Linked DNA regions of Callithrix jacchus. Each later gene encodes a partner of the first gene's protein in a complex. Links are inferred from orthologs where the notes say so. Each region holds a gene or a part of one and is shown on either strand. Other genes may lie near its edges.

Region 1 (5,139 bases):
AGTCACGATTTCACTGACTGCTTCTCTCATAACCACACACATGCAGATTTAATGCTATAATCAAAGTCAGCATTTCCTCATAGTCTTAAAGAGAAGCTTGTAAGATTCGGAAATTTCATAAAAGTCTCAACCCCTCTGTCATGTTTTTCAAGAGTTTATACTTGTGAGGAGTTCACAGATCAACTAAATTAACTGCTGTAGGCCTTCAGGATAGCCAAACATGCCTATGAATAGTGATCTGGGAAGAGGAAGGACAGCAGGAGAGAAGAGAACCATAGCAGCTATGACTAGTGAGCACGAAAATCCTGCATTCCCACGTATCCTGGAGTTGGTCTACAAGGCTGCCCTGTAGATACTGGTTAATGAAACAGTGAGGTCAATCATTGCTGGGGTGAACATTACCAATCGCTCCATCTCCTGCTCCCTGAGTCTTTCCTCCCTCTGCCGCCGGTGATAATCCATCAGGTCCTCACGCCCTGAAATGGAGCTAATGCTGCTTTTCCGTTCCCGAAGGACAGGCTGGGGGGTTCCTAAGGCCTGTCTGAGGCTTTCCAAATCAGCCTCATCAGACTCCACAGATCCACAAGAGAAGTTCCGCCTGGTCACAAACACTCTGTCTGATTCTTCAGCTAAAAGTGAATGACTTGAGTTTGTCCCGGCGTATGAAGCCCGATCAAAGTCATCAGAGACGCAGGAGGAGGTGGAGGCCAGAAGCATCTTCCGAGCTACTCGAGGACTGGCAGGGACACTGAGGGTAGAACTTACATAAGGATTGCCGTCAGAAGCAGAGGTTTTATAGGGTAAAGCCCCTGAGCTCAAAGAAGAAAAATTAAGGTAATTGTCGTTGTCTATTATGCTATGAGGTAGATCCTTTTCCCCAAGTTTTGTTCGTTTGGAATTGCCCAGAGAGTTTCTCGGAGGCAAGCTGAGGGGTGTCAGCTGGTTCTCTGTGGCTTTGTACAACCTGGGAAGTGACCGGCTGTAGGCTCCCATGTGACTCAGGCTGCTGCTGGGGTACTTCCTGGTTCTCAGATTGATGTTTTCAGATGCCAGCTCCTTGTGTCTGGTTAACTTGGGTTGGAGCAGCAGGCTGTCCTGAATGCTCATTTTCCTGCCTTGCTTTGGGCTTGAAGGTGTGCTTGCAGCTCCCGATCTGCTGAGAGGAGGGGGGCCGGCATCACTCAGGGAACTTCCATTCCACATGGCTAGGAGCGAGCCAGATGCCTGCCGACCTTCCAGGCCTCCCAGAAAGCAGACATTGTCATGCGATTTATTCCTGGAGCTATGTTTGGAATAGGGAGGCTTCTCTGAGAGCCTCCAGGCCCTTTCGCTGTCCCGGCCAGAATAAGGGTCAAAGTCTGCTCTTCCAAGTGGATATCCACTGAGGGAGGATGTAATGCTGAGTGAAGGAGTTGGAGGTTTCATGGAAATAGTTTTGTCAGTTCCATCATACGAGAACTGCTTGCTTCCCTGGATTTTGGCTAAGGAGGAGCTGCTTCTGACACTGGTTGCCACAGGAGAAGGGCTTCTCTTTGCAGGCACAGGTTGTGAGAGGGTTAAATAGGAGCCAGAATAGTCCCCATTGGCCTTAAATCTCAGACTGGAAGAGTACTTCTTTGGGCTAAGGCTCTCCATCACGTTTTGGAAATCGTTCTCAGTCGAATGCACCACAGAGTCTCCCTTTAAGCTCCCATTTTGTAAATCTAGCTCCTTTTGGCTATGCTCTTCCATAATCTTGCTGGAATCTGTAAAGAAATAAAAGAGAACACTTTTATTTTATTTCTGTAAAGAAATAAAAGAGAACACTTATTTAAAAAAAGATTTTAAAAGAACTGTTCCCTGTTAGGCCTACATCTCAACAAATAATCTTTCAGTCTGACCTAATGCAACTAACAAGCACATACTCAGTTTTACTAGTAATCCTGTTAAAACTGTACAGCAAATCGAAGAAGAATAAAGACCTTTTTATTGCTGTCCTTTTAAGTTACTTTTCTTTTGTACATAAGATATTCCAGAAGTTTGGGATATCCAGAAGATACCTTCTGGGATATCTTATGTACAAAAGAAAAATAAAAGGACAGCAATGACATTTGAGGGAAACAAATCTCTAACCAAGGAAAGGTGCAGGATTAAGCTGGTACATAAAAAAGACAATTTCTCCTTGATGTTCTGGCTCCTAGTGGAAAACCTGCTTCCCTAGTGACTAGCTAATGCTCAAAGGCATAATGCAATGGACCTTCCTACAGACGTCTCTGCTAGAAACATTAACTGCTCAGAAATAAAGTCTCAAGGAAACAAAATTCACACTTGGGAAGAGAAAGAAAAGTTTATGTTAGACACTGTTCAATAACATGAGGGTTAGAAGACGGTTCTTTAAATGTGGGCTCTGGGAGTTACCTTCTCAACAAGAAGAGTTAAAGGTCCTTTAGTCGTCAGAGGCAGGTGACAACAAAGAAAAAGGTATTCCACAAACTACTGACACGTGGTCAGGACGGTCTATTTAAAAAGCTGACACTGTTATAGCCTTCAAATTTTCTAGTACCCCAAATGCACTCCGCTATTCCTTGCAAATCCTCTCTTCTAGCAGAAACACCTATCAGGACCAACCTACTCTTCCAGGGACAGATCAGGTTTCTACCTTCCAGGATTACAATTTTTAAGAAAATGGGTTTGAACAGCGTTCACTTAAGAAACTAAAGCTTTAGCCTATGGAAATGTCTTTGAGTTACAAACTATTACCGCAAACGGAAAGGCTTATATTTCTAACTGATAAAAAAGGAGTTTCTTAGATTATCAGCAATGGGAAAATACAACTTAAACATTGTCATTGAACCTATGAGCCACTAAAACTGTCCTCCAGGCCTTGGGCACATCAGACACTAACTATGACCTCTCTGGTGATATAGAAACAGTATCACATATGGTTAGTAATGGTTTCACAATGTGGTGGTCTCTGTAACTAAGCCACAAGTTTAAGGAAGAGGTTCTGTCTAGCATTTTTACCTTACTGCCACCCCTCTAGCTCTCGTTGCCCCATAGGTGAGAAACTCAATGAACCCAAGCTTTTTGTTTTTTTTTTGAGACGGAGTTTCGTTCTTGTTACCCAGGCTGGAGTGCAATGGTGCGATCTCAGCTCACCGCAACCTCCGCCTCCTGGGTTCAGGCAATTCTCCTGCCTCAGTCTCCCGAGTAGCTGGGATTACAGGAGAGTGCCACCATGCCCAGCTAATTTTTTGTATTTTTAGTAGAGACGGGGTTTCACCATGTTGACCAGGATGGTCTCGATCTCTTGACCTTGGGATCCACCCGCCTCGGCCTCCCAAAGTGCTGGGATTACAGGCTTGAGCCACCGCGCCCGGCCCCAAGCTTTTCATTTTAACTAAAGCCTTCCTCACTCCCTCCCAGCCATGGACTAATGACCTTCACCCTGCTGCTCAGCTTCATATACTTTCTGAGCAAATTCAGGCAGCCTAGTAAAGACCTGCTTCTTTATCCACAAGGCCAAGAAACAGTCTGGCTGCCTAAATGCTGGTGACGGGCCACTGACTCAGCTGCCCCTAGAGGTGAAGCCTTCCCCAACAAACTCTGCCTCGGGCTCCTTATCCTCTAACCCAAAGCCCTTTCCCGAGACTTACAAACATAATTCATCTTTTTAAATGTACCTCAAAAAAAAATCAAGTTTTCTCATTCTATTTGCCTCCCAGCTGGGATCCAGTCCTGCCATCTAGTTCTCGGGAAGTCTTTCATTCCTGAGGGACAGGGCCCTTTCCGCCCCCAAGACAAACGTTCCTCTCGGCATGTGTCTACCACTATCGGTTCTGGTTTTAAAGGCAACACCAGCCTGGTATGAGGCATATCTCACCCGCTCAGAGGACTGAAACTGAGACTCTTCTATTCTGAACTGGCATCCCCTCTCATTGGTTTGCCATGCTGAAATTCCAGCAAGCTTTGGACAACTGTCTCAAGTTAAACACTCTGGAACTGAAAAAATAAGGAAATAGATGGATCCTGAGGACATTAAGGACAACTTAATAGAGAAAAAATTTCTAAACCACTGCCAGATGATGAAGAAGATGCAGAAGAAGCAGTACGAGAAAACACACCGACATTACGCATCCTGGCAGAAGGGTTCTGATTATTCAAGACTGCTGTTGGCTTCTCTTACAACGCGGACCCTTCCATGATACAGGTACTGAACCACAGCAAACGGCTGAAGGAGGATTGGTCCCATAAAAAACATTTTTAGGGGGTGTAGGGGAGAGACAGCGGGGGATGGGGAGGGATAACATGGGGAGAAATGCCAGATACAGTATGCACCTGAAGTGAAATCAATACATTTTAAAAATTAAAAACAAATAAATAACATTTTTAGAGAAATTTAAAAAGTAAAAAGTTTACTTTTTGTAAAATTACACTTTACAAAAAAGCATAAAGTTACACTGATTGTGCCTACCTGTTCTGCCTCCCCTTTGCTACCCCAGAGGCATCAAAACCAGCTTCTCCGCTTCCTCTGAAGACCTTCAAGATGATCCACTTCCACTTAATAAATAAATATATTTTCTCTTCCTTATGAACAACTTAATAACCTCTTTTCTCTAAATTACTTTATTATGATAGTACAGTAGATCATACATATATTAAAATATGTGTTAATTGGCTTTATTAGCAAGGTTTCCGGTCAATGGCAGGCTAACAGTAGTTAAGCTCTGGGGGAGTAAAAAGCTATCTGCAGATTTCCAATTCAGCGGAGTTGTTCAAGAGTCAGCTGTACATACACACAACCATACACACAGGTGGGGATCAAGCCAAAATCCTGGGAATCAGCACTGGCCTCCTCTGTCACTAGCACCCCCTTCCTCATTTTATCCATCTCTAAATTCTACCAACACTGTCCTTAAAACATTCTGAATGTGATCACTTCTTAGCATTTCCACCGCAGCCTCTCTAGTATGAGGCAGAATCTTCTCTGGGCTCCCCCATGTGCCTGTTCTTCCACAACAATAATAACAATTACAATGGACTGGAAGAAATTACACCAAAAAAAAAATTAGTAGTGGTTTTATTTGGATGGTAGTTTTACCAGCGATTTTTAACACCTCTCTCATACTAGTTTATATTTTCTACATTTTATGTAGTATG
Region 2 (5,777 bases), on another chromosome or scaffold:
CGATCCTTTTTCTCATGACCTGTATTTTTATTGAGCCTTTTCCTTGAATTGAGTATAAGGAATATAAAGAGGTCCTATAAGCACGATGCTTCTTCTTCAGAGCTTAGGAAGGCAGGAAAGTCATTTAACTGGACATGTATAACCACGTTTACACATCTGTACAATCTCAATGCTTATAACAACCTTTAACGTAGGTATTCCCAGCCCTATTTTAAAGCAGAGGTAACTAAGGTTCGGGATGGATGTTTTAATGACTTGCCCAAAGTTACTCAATAGGTAAGTGGCAGAGCCAGGCCAAGAACCTTGAGTCCTTTTTTCTGTTCAATGCACACAGCTAAGTCTTGGCAGAGGACAAGGACTTAAATTTAATTAGGCTTTGAGAGAAGGGTGGGACTTAAACACCTGAATGGGGATTCCGGTTAGGCTGAAAGGTAAGAATGAAGCAGGGATCTGTGAGTAGACCTGTTTGACTACAGAGACTGATTCCCGGGAGCAAAGTGGGAGATAAGCTGGGAAAGGTTAAGTAGAAGCCAGAAGAGGGAGAGTTTTAAATAGCTAGATAAGAATTGCAGGGAAAGGGGGACATGATTTAGAGGGGAAGATGTTGATGACAAAACCAAACGTTTTAGCAAACTCATGTGGTAGTGGTGCAGAGAAAGAATTAGAACTGGGGGAAACTGAAGTCAGAAATTCAAGTTACGAGTTTGGAATAGTGCAGGTCTGACAAGTAATAAGATGGTAATGATATAAAGTAGGTTTTTGAGAGCAGTGGCCCAAGACTGTGGGTTTCTTGTAGCATTCTATTGTTTGAAAGAGTGTAAATTGTGGACACTCAATACTTTAAGTACGGAAAGAAAAAAATGACTTTGGAGTCAAATACACCTTGGTTTCAATACAAGTTCTAGGTGATCTGGAGAAATTTACTTACATAACTTTGCTGAGCCTTTGATTCCCTCTGTTAAAATAACACTAATAACACTCAATTTACAGGATGATTGTGAAGATTAAGCATGACACAATGGTGGATTCTGTGCATCCCTCTACAAATTTTGGCAGATTGGTGAAATGTATGGCATGTCATTAATTAAAAAACAATGAGGTTCAGTAATCCCAGCACTTTGGGAGGCTGACACCGGCAGATCACCTGAGGTCAGGATTTCGAGGCCAGCCTGACCAACATGGCGGAAACCCTGTGTTTACTAAAAATACAAAAATTAGTGGGTGTGGTGGTCGGGGCCTGTAGTCCCAGCTAATCGGAGGCTGAGGCAGGAGAATCACTTGAACCCGGGAGGAGGAGGTTGCATTGAGCCAGATCATGCCACCGCACTTTAGCCTGGGTGACAGAGTGAGCCGTTTCAAAACAAATAAGCAAAAAAAAAAAAAAAAAAACCAATGAAAAACAATAGAAAGTTATTAATTCACTATATTTCTAGAAGATGGTGGGTTATATGCTGCCTATATCTCATACAAATAAAGCTGCTTTTCACCATTCATTTCTGCCTCTAAGCAGTATCTGCCTTGGAAGAACCAACTTCTGATACTTTCTTTTCTGTCAGCCGAGGGGATTATACCGCATGATATCTGTCAAGGATAAATGTTAGTTAATTTTTAATTGATAGCTCAGCCACTGCAGTTGGTTCCGTTCCATTCAACAGTAATTATTCTCATGTGTTTTGTGGAACTCAATTGTGAGCCCTCCTTCCTCTATCCTTTTCAGGGTGTGCATTAAAACAGCAGCCTTAAGGTCTTTAAACGTGTTATTTTTCCTGCTTCAGAGATTCAATTTTACTTGCCCGAGAAGCTTGTGTGATGTGATTTTCGTCGCTAAAAGCAAAAGCAGCCACATGGCTGATAACACCACCAGCTGGGTCGTTTTCAGGAGTCTCTTCCAAACCTTTCGGAAGTGCTTTTGAAGTTCTACATTCCCCGTCTAAGGGAACACCCAGCAGTCCCAGGATAATAGGGCAGAAGGGTGAGCTGACGTTTTCCTTTATTTGCATGGCTTAAAGCTAGCCATTTTCTACACCACGCGCCGCCGGGCTCGTACTTGCCCGTGACACCCAGGCAATTGTTTCTCCTTAAAAAGGGTGTTCGGGTGGCTTAGTTTCGTTTCTGATCTGGAATCGCAGCAAATACGACGAGAAAAGTTTAAGACTCGACCCGCCAGGTTCTTCCCTATCGCATTATCCCCGTTCCTTAGAGATAGTAGGAAGGGCAACATTTTCTTCCATCCACCCACTTCCAGCCCTAGTCTGGCTCGGCGAGGAATGTATAAAATTAGTGCACTCCTCTGAGTGACGTTCCCCGAGTCCAATCATCGGGCGCGTAGGCACCTCCTGCCCCGCCCCCCTGCTGACTCTCTTTGGCTGATTCCTGCAGGGAGGGAGGAGAGAAGGGCGGCAGTGGGAGGGGGAGGTACCTGGAACTGGGAGTGATGTCAGCTCCCAGCTCGATGCCTGCCCGGATTCCTGACATGGTGTAGGGCAGGCACGGTGGAGAAGGGACGGGAAGGACTCGTGTGCTGCGAGCCGGCGGCGGGGCGGGAGTACTGGGCTTTGAACTCCGTGAGGAGGTGGACAAGAACTTTTGGAACTACTGCCGGCGGCTCTCCACCCCCCAGGTAAGGGCGTTTTGCTCCACTCCGAGACGGGAGGGAAGTGGCACCGTTGTGTGGCTGCAGCTGGGTGTTGCAGCTGCTCTTCTTCCCCGGGTGGATTTCCTTGTCCAACTCACTCCTGTTTCCCAATGGGAACGGGCACTTTTTGGGGGTGCTGGGGGTGGAGGGGTAGGGCATAACTCCTGGGGCCCCGCCTGAGCTTGTGCGTGAAGAATACTCCAGGATTGGACGTGTAGGTCTTGTCTGTATCTTTAGACCCCCGCACCCTAGGCTCCCAGTAATACTTGAGAACCCCAACCAGGGGTGTGTGTGTCTCTGTCTATGTGTATTGGGGGATTTAAAAATGCCACAAAAAGTTATGAATCATTGATTCAAAAATTATGCTCGTTGAAAGGAAAAAAAGTTTTGTATTTTTTTTTTTAATCTCCCAGTGGCCTATTATATATTAAGTGAAAGAATATCAACGTTATTCTTACATATCAATGTAAACTGCCCTTTTGTGTAATCCAGTCGGGATGTGAGAATTCACTTGGGGTGTTTATTAATTATGAGCTTGTGGGAACACTCGTCTCTTGGGGGCACACTTCTAAAACTGCAACTCGTAGTCACTCATATTTTAAGTGAGAATCCCTTCAGCTGCCAGCTTTGTATCTGGAGAGGTTAGGATGGCTGTGAAAATCTTCAGATCTGTTTCCTTTGGCCACTTGAGGGGCTGGCTGATAGTTGTGTTTTCAGGGATCTTTTTTAGAGAAGGGAGTTTTAACAGGGAAATGCGGTGGAAGGCGCGGCATATGAACTCTTAATTATAGGGACGTGAATTTTTGAAGCTGTGGGACCAAAACAAATCCTTGCTTTCAGTAAGAACAGTAGAGAGCAATAGAAAGAGAACTTGATTTCAAAGTCCAAGTTTGGTATTTTGAGAAAACAATTGCCTGTCGGGAGAAAAAAGATACTTTTAAGAAGTGAAAGAATAGAATCCTGATTTGTGTTTATTTCCTGTTTCAAGCCGTGTCTTTTTCCTGTGTGGACATTTTGTGTGCCCAGTCACTAACTGGGTGTGATTGACTTTCTTGAGGGGTTGGGGAAATTGGCTCCACACACTGATTCAGGACCCTCTCATCAATGCTTTAAGGCTCTCTTCTGGAGCAGGAAAAAAAAAAAGTAGGCGCTGAGACTCCTGAGTCAATTTTCCCCTTTCTTTCACAGAAGCCCTCCTCAGCAGTGAGGATCCTACTCTTGCCAGGTCTGGAGGAAATGGGAGTGGACTTCATTGAGAGTCAAAATCCATATCCCAGGCCCCTGAAGGAAAAGGCTTTTCCAGGAGATGGAGAGAGAAGTCACAACAGTACATCTAGTAAACCCAAGTCAGGAAATGGGATAGAGGACTATAGATGGAGTTGTCTGTCTTTCTAGCCGGATGATCTTTAAGTTGCGTAACTAGAAAGAAGTGTTTGGTTGTGTTGTTGTTTAGGAAATATCTGGGTCTGTATTGTTCTTAGTTCCTGAAAAAATTAAATCGAGTGGATAAATAGCAGGCTTTATGAGAAAGGAAAATTTGGTTTATTGGAAAGACAAGAACATTTAAATTTTGGGTTGTGTTTTGGCTTAAGACACAGAAATTGCAAAAGGCTCTGCAATAATGATGAACAAGTCTTTTCTATTTATGTTCTTTGGGGGAGTACATAAAACATATCGTATTTTCTAGTGTACTTTTTCAGTAGGATAGAGCTGTGGAGTGGAGTTTCTGTGGGCTAATGTGAACTCACTGTAGTGTTCCTTGGCTGATAGTGTTCCAACTGCATTTGTAATACCAAAAGATGGGGCTGCAAAAGCCAGATGGCTAAGTAAAGAAGGGTATCTTTAGGATGTTATCCTTGTGGGCCAAATTCAGATATACACTTTCTTTCCAAGAAACTAGTCCTAGTTTACGGACTTGAATATACCAAAACTCTAAATTTGATTCACAGTTTGAGTAATAGCAGTAATTTTGCATACTTAATTTAAACCAATATTTCTTTTTCTCAGTCCATGTTTATGAGGCAGATATGGTGTAGTAAAACACAGACAACTTAAGAGATGTTTGAGTTATTGAGAAAGGTAGAATCAGGTTTAAATTCCTTTGACCAACAACTGTCATACTTCCAGTAGCAACTTTAAAAATTAAGGTCATCTGGCCTTAATGGATAAAATGTCCTGAAATCCAGGACACATGGAAGTTCCAGATCAATAGTGCCTAATTTCAAGGACATCATTGACAGTTTTTGCGAACAAGTTCATTGAGGGACGGTTAATTAACTGTTTATTTAGTCTCTTTATTACTCCTTGTACTAGCATGAGATAAGTTAGAAAAGGTCATTTTTCCCTTAGTTACTGACTAGCTAACTTCTTTTAAAACTTTCATATTCATAAAGTATTTGTATGAGTTAATTTAGATTATATGGATAATTTGTTACATTAAAACTTTTTATTTATATACCAAACCAGCATAGTTTTCAAACTGTTAACTGAAAGAACACTGTATTCAGTATTCTGTCTTGTCTTTTTGTTTTTTGTATTTTTTGAGACAGGGTCTCGCTCTGTCAACCTGGGTGAAGTGCAGTGACGCAATCTCGGCTCACTGCAGCCTCTACCACCCAGGTTCAAATAATTCTCCCACCTCAGCCTCCCCTGGGACTACAGGCACGCACCACCACACCTGGCTAATTTTTGTATTGTTAGTAGAGGCAAGTTTTCGCCATGTTGTTCAGGCTGGTCTCGAACTCCTGGGCTCAAACGATCAACCCACCTCAACCTCCCAAAGTGCTAGGATTGAAGGAGTGAGCCATGGGTGCCCAGCCTGTCTTTTCGAAGATGTTGTTACATGTCTCTGGCCTAGTTTAAATTACCTTTTCAAAACAATGAGTAAAGGAGTGAATTAATGAATGTATATTCATTCATGTTTGGGTTTGTGTCTTGATTCTTTATTAAAGAAACGTTGCTTCAAGGGGAAAACATAGGCAGAAAGTTTTGCATAATGACATTTTTATTTTCAGAGATTTCTTTAGAAAGTCATATTAGATCTAAAATTAAGAAAAAATATCACAGTTGCACAGCCAGTTGTGATTTTCAGAGATTTCTTTAGAAAGTCATATTGGATCTAAAATTAAGAAAAAATATCACA
Region 3 (5,739 bases), on another chromosome or scaffold:
CTTCTCTCCTCCAGACTATGAACTCGGACTTCAAGTGATGTCTTAGCTTTGTGTTCCCAAAGCCTAAGCCATGTTTGGCTCATGCACACTCCACAGATGCTCGCGAAATGAATGTTCTGCCCTGCTGAACTAAATTCTGATCTTGTGCCGAATTCTTAGGAAACAGACACTTCGTGAGCATGGTGCAAACATAAGCTGGATACATTAAGCAGGTACCCCTAAGGAGAGCTGGGAATTTGCTGGTTTCAAACAGTGGTTCAGGAGAACTTGGGAGTTGTGAGAATTGCTGGTGTGTGGAGAGGTACAGGGTACTTGCAGAACGTGTCATCTAAGTGATCATCTTTACAGTTTCATTTTTTATTTTTGAGATGAGGTCTCACTTTGTCATCTAGGCCAGAGTGCAGTGGCACAATCTCAGCTCACTGCAGCCTCCACCTCTCAGGCTCAAGTGATCCTTCCACCTCAGCCTTGGCTCACCACGCTGGACTAAGTTTTAATTTTTTTTTTGAGACGGAGTTTCGCTCTTGTTACCCAGGCTGGAGTGCAATGCGATCTCGGCTCACCGCAACCTCCGCCTCCTGGGTTCAGGCAATTCTGCCTCAGCCTCCCGAGTAGCTGGGATTACAGGCACGCGCCACCATGCCCAGCTAATTTTTTGTATTTTTAGTAGAGGCGGGGTTTCACCATGTTGACCGGGATGGTCTCGATCTCTCGACCTCGTGATCCACCCGTCTCGGCCTCCCAAAGTGCTGGGATTACACCCTTGAGCCACCGCGCCCGGCCAAGTTTTAATTTTTTTGTATAGACACAGGCTTCCCTGTATTGCCCAGGCTCAAGCAATCCTCCAAGTTGGCCTCCCAAAGTGCTGGGATTACCAGACGTGAGCCACTGCACCTTGCCTCAGGCTGGAGTTCCAGGGAAAGATCTTGGCTCACTGCAACCTCAGCCTCCCAGGTTCGAGTGATTCTTCCACCTCACCCTCCTGAGTAGCTGGGATTACAGATGCCCACCACCACACCTGGCTAATTTTTTTGTATTTTTCGTAGGGATGGGGCTTCACCATGTTGGCCAGGCTGGTTTTTGTAGGGTTGGTGCTTCACCATGTTGACCTTGTGATCCACCAGCCTAGGCCTCCCAAAGTGCTGGGATTACAGGCGTGAGCCACTGCACCTGGCCTCACCTGGCCATTAACGTGTTTAAAATAGCAAGAAACTAGGGGCAAAAAGCACAAATTCATGTTTACATGTAGTCAGTCAATAAATATTTATCGAATGAATGAATAAATTAATGGCAGGTGTACCAGACCCTGGTAGGTGAGAAAGTTAGTCGGAGGTAGTGCTTGTTCTCCGTGCGTTCACAAGGTGGAATCAGGGAATTCACCTTGGACGGGCTCACGTTTCCCTCTCCTAGCCCCTATGCAGCCTGTTCTCAGACTTGATTCGTTCTGAGGGGCTCTTGGCTGCCTCACACCAACAGCAGTGGTCAGTGGAGACCGGCGATGGTCTCCTGACATGTTGGTTTGTGAAGACCAGCGCTCGAGTCAAATTCTGGGAAGATCGGGAGAGCATCCGCTTTAATTTACTAAATTTATTAGCGGCGTCTCTATTCATCTCCGTGTCTGCAACATCCAGCACAGGACCTGGCCCATGGTAGGTGTTTAAAAATGCTTGCGGAAAAGATCAAATGACCAAGCCTCGTGCAGTGCTGCCCGTCAGCTTCTCAACCAGTCGCTCTTTACATCTGATTGACATCTTAAAGCAGCCTGGCAGGTAGGTCTCCATCATTTTCCCATCCCACATCGGAGGCGCTGAAGCCCAGGCGTGTTTCCCGAGTCGCCCGGACCCACCGGGCCCTCGCTGCAGTGTGAAACCACAGCGGCAAAGTCTGCCCGCTGGACGCTGCGCCGGGGCGTCCCCAGGTGCGGCAGGCAGCGCTCAGTAAGTGGGTCCTGGAGGGAAGCGCGTCCTTCTGAACCCAGATCAGGCCCGGGGAGACTCTGGGAGCGACGCGGAGGGCGCAGTCGGGGCCCCAGGCGGTGGCTGAAGCCTTGGCTCGCTCTGCCGCAAGATGGGAATCCAGAGCCTCCAGCTCGGGAGGGACCTGACGTGCCGGACTGGTCCGGCTCAGAACCCGAGGCGCGGCGGACTGACGCTCGGCAGAGGCCTCCGCTGTACCTGCAGCTGTGGGAGGAGACTGGGGACCCCGCGAGCACCTGAGCTCCCACCTGTGGCTCATCCCGGGGACGCCGCCCCCAACCTGGGCGTGGAATGGAAGGGCGGGGCTCCGTCACGTTCAGCCAATCAGCGCCCTGAAGCCGCCGGCCGCCCCCTCCTGAGGAGACGGCACTTGCGCACTCGGGCCGCAGAGCTCCTCGGGCCCCGCCCCCGGGGCAGTGCTGACGCTCGCGCCGACGCGCCCGACGTCGGGCACGTTGACGCCGGCGCCGCGCAGCCGGGCCCGCTCCTCCTCCGCTCCGCCAGTGTCCGGCCGCGGGCCGGCCTTAGTGACTGGGGCGGCGGGCCCCGGGGCCGCGGCGTGGGGCGGGCAGGCTGACGCCGGCCGCGGGCTGCCTTCGTCTGTTCTCAAGCTCGCCTGGAGCGAGCAGCCGCCCGCGAGCCGCCGCAGAGCCTCCTCGTCCGCTCCCGCCGGCGAGCAAGGTAAGGGAGCGGGACACTGAGGCAGACCCGGGGCCCAGGCGTTCCCGGCGGGTCCCGATCCCCGCGGCGGCCGCGCAGCCGATTGGATGTCTTGGCGGGGAAGGGTGCGCTCCGGGGCGGGCGGGGGCGAGGCGGTAGGGGAGCTCCGGCGGGACCCCCGCGCCCCGAGGGACGGCTCCGGGGGCTGCGTGACGCCCCTGCCCGAGCCCCGCGCCCCGTGACCCTGGCGCTGGGGCGAGGGGCGGGGACCTGCGGCCGCTGAAAGCCCCGGCCCGGGCGGGCTCTGCTGTCAACGGTCCTCACCCCCGGGGTCCTGGGCTCCCGCCGCATCTGCTACAGGAGGGGAAGGAGTGCGGGCGCGAGCAGGCTGGAGGTAACCATCCGCATCAGGTGCGCGGTCTTGGGCATCCTCCTCTCGGGGGTCCACCGCACCCCGAATACTTGCCTTAAGGCTCAGAAGCGACTTCCCGTTCCCCTCCCGCCGTCTTTAGATTCCAGACACTTAATAGTCTCTCATAATCTCACCTTTCACTTTTCCTTCTTTCCTAGCCGCCCCGGGCTGTATCGACCTGCTATATTTCCATTGTGGAATTTTTTTTTTTTTTTTTTTTCCGGTTGTAAACTTACGTAAGTTAGGTTGACTGACCAACCGTTGCAGCCGTTGAAAAACACTTCTACCAGCGTGTAACGAATTCAGTTCTTTTTAGTGCTCACCGAATCCAGCCCAAGAATTCAGGGAGCCGGCCGTTCTTCCCGGGAGCTGACCGCACACATTCCTGCAAGATGCCTGATGGATTTTGTACTTGTCAGTTTTGTTGGCTGTGTGCTCCTTCTGTGCTTTTCCTGAAAAATGATTGGGTGACATGTGTTTTGACTTTCTCTCCCCCCACTGGGAAGTAGAAAAAACAGGTAACAGAAGCACACTTGTTTTCCACGAAAACGTACAGCTTTGCTAAAAGACCACCCCAGGGTTTGCCTTTTTTGTTGTTGCTGTTAGGGCAGTCCTCTGGGATCCTGACTCCCTCCCTGGGTTTTTGTCCGTGTTGATGTCTTCATGTCGTGTATTTCTGCACTTAATATTTGCCCCGTGTGTGTATGTTCTCAGCTTCTTTACATACAAAGCATACCAGTTCTGAGAATAATGCGGCTGCCCATCTTTTTAGCTACAGATACTGTGGGAACCTGTATTCGCACTTAGTGACCGTAGCTTGGGGCCTTGATTTCCAGATGATGTGCGAGGTGATGCCGACCATCAGCGAAGCAGAAGGTCCCCCTGGAGGAAGCGGAAGCCATGGGTCTGGCTCCCCTTCACAGCCGGACACAGATTCACATTTCGAACAGTTGATGGTCTCCATGCTAGAAGAAAGGGACCGTCTTCTTGACACACTGAGAGAGACTCAAGAAACGCTGGCATTAACCCAGGGGAAGTTACACGAGGTTGGTCATGAAAGAGATTCCTTGCAGAGACAGCTCAACACGGCACTTCCGCAGGTATGAGTGCTTTTAACCTGGAACTCTATAGATGCTTTGTTAATGTTTCAGATGAGCATTTTCCGTAACCATTTGTGAAATGATGGTTTCTGGTGTTTGTAAGTCAAATACAAAGTTCCTAGGGATTAAACCTCTTAGGGAGAACAAACTGTTGTACTCTAAAGTCCTGTGAAAAGACCTCATTATTTTCATTCCTGTCTTTGGGAACTGCCTGGGTTCAGGAAGTTCGTTCTCCAGAGTTGTTGAAAAACGGCTCTGAAGCCGCAATCTATACGGTGCCTCTGTTCTGTTGTCTTAGCCTTTTCTTCCTAGACTTGTTCTTCCCACGGATTGTGTCTCTCATGTATTTCCAATTTCCTAATGAAATTTCATGGACAAATAGGATTGATTTCACAGAAAAAAATATTTTGATAGCCCACCTTTTTCAGAACACCTAGGTTTTTGTAAGTCACATTTGTTTTAGGGGATAGAAGACTGGAAATTGATTCCCTTAGAAACTTTTTCCTTGGCAGATGAGAATTTTAAAGCTTAGGCCGAATGTGGTGGCTCATGTCTGTAATCCCAGCACTCTGGGAGACCGAAGCAGGTGGATCACCTGAAATCAGGAGTTCGAGACCAGCCTGGCCAGCATGGCAAAACCAAAAACACAAAAATTAGTGGAGCATGATGGCACACACCTGTAGTCCCAGCTATTCTCGAGCTGAGGCATGAGAATTACTTGAACCCGGGAGGAGGAGGTTGCAGTGAGCCAAGATTGCACCACTGCTTTCCAACCTGGGTGACAGAGCTAGACACTGTTTCACTGTCTCAAAAAAAAAAAAAAAAAAAAAAGGTTTTTAAAGCTTAGAACAACTGAAATTGTTTCTCTGAGTATATAACATTTGGACCAGTGTTTGAAAGACTTTGCTCATGGAGTTGAATGAGGATGAATTAGTGGTAGGTAAACGGAGGAGGGGTAAAAACTAGAAAAGTGTGAGGTGAGTGGCGCGGAGCACAGTAGGAGAGAAGTGGGTTACTTAGGTGGTTCAGAGCCCTCTAGGTGCCATGTCACTTACCACAGGTGCCTTCGCGGTGCCTTCAGGTAGACCTGCGTAATCATAGGCTTATACTCGCATGATGGTCTGCAGTGATACATTCACAAATGAGTAAACTAGCCTTGACGTACTTCTGGGCTGTAGTCAGTTCTCCTGACAGATTGATGAGCCCAACGTGCATTTCCTTTTTAGCAACAGTAATTTGATGTTAGCACTATGTGTTCCTTTTTGTTGGGTTAGAGAAATATTAAGATTTTTCTCAATTCAATTTTAGAGACCACCAAGTTTATTTAGGTCACATTTTATTACTACAAGTTGAAAATAATTAGCCTATTTATGTTTTACCAGGATTTTGTTTTATTTGTAATTTAAGGTACATGTATTGAAGTGTATATCAAATACTAATGTGATGAATAAGGTGGGTTTGGGAAAGAATGGGCACATGTCAGGGAAGTGACAGGAGCTTTGTACAGTTAGTCTCAGGCTGCAGAGGTTGTCACACTGGTGACAGGGTTGCTCAGTGATTTGTTTCTGGTACTGCTCAGTGTAGTAGCCTG

Evidence for each region. Proteins that work in one complex are often made in the same cells at the same time.
Region 2: PHLDB2 (region 1) and PPFIBP1 share a complex: the UniProt entries of both Homo sapiens proteins name them as parts of the cortical microtubule stabilization complex. The link is inferred for Callithrix jacchus from reciprocal best matches to the Homo sapiens genes PHLDB2 and PPFIBP1.
Region 3: PHLDB2 (region 1) and PPFIA1 share a complex: the UniProt entries of both Homo sapiens proteins name them as parts of the cortical microtubule stabilization complex. The link is inferred for Callithrix jacchus from reciprocal best matches to the Homo sapiens genes PHLDB2 and PPFIA1.

Annotation. Positions count from the first base shown.
Region 1 is NC_133516.1:103,093,848-103,098,986, reverse strand, and holds part of PHLDB2 (pleckstrin homology-like domain family B member 2), read right to left. Parts: intron 1,746-5,139; coding exon 403-1,745; intron 1-402. UniProt on the Homo sapiens protein: Seems to be involved in the assembly of the postsynaptic apparatus. May play a role in acetyl-choline receptor (AChR) aggregation in the postsynaptic membrane.
Region 2 is NC_133510.1:43,717,603-43,723,379, reverse strand, and holds the start of PPFIBP1 (liprin-beta-1), read left to right. Parts: upstream 1-2,462; 5' UTR 2,463-2,620; intron 2,621-5,777. UniProt on the Homo sapiens protein: May regulate the disassembly of focal adhesions. Did not bind receptor-like tyrosine phosphatases type 2A.
Region 3 is NC_133511.1:127,206,962-127,212,700, forward strand, and holds the start of PPFIA1 (liprin-alpha-1), read left to right. Parts: upstream 1-2,424; 5' UTR 2,425-2,657; intron 2,658-2,882; exon of another isoform or gene 2,883-3,047; intron 3,048-3,352; exon of another isoform or gene 3,353-3,566; intron 3,567-3,884; coding exon 3,885-4,148; intron 4,149-5,739. UniProt on the Homo sapiens protein: May regulate the disassembly of focal adhesions. May localize receptor-like tyrosine phosphatases type 2A at specific sites on the plasma membrane, possibly regulating their interaction with the extracellular environment and their association with substrates.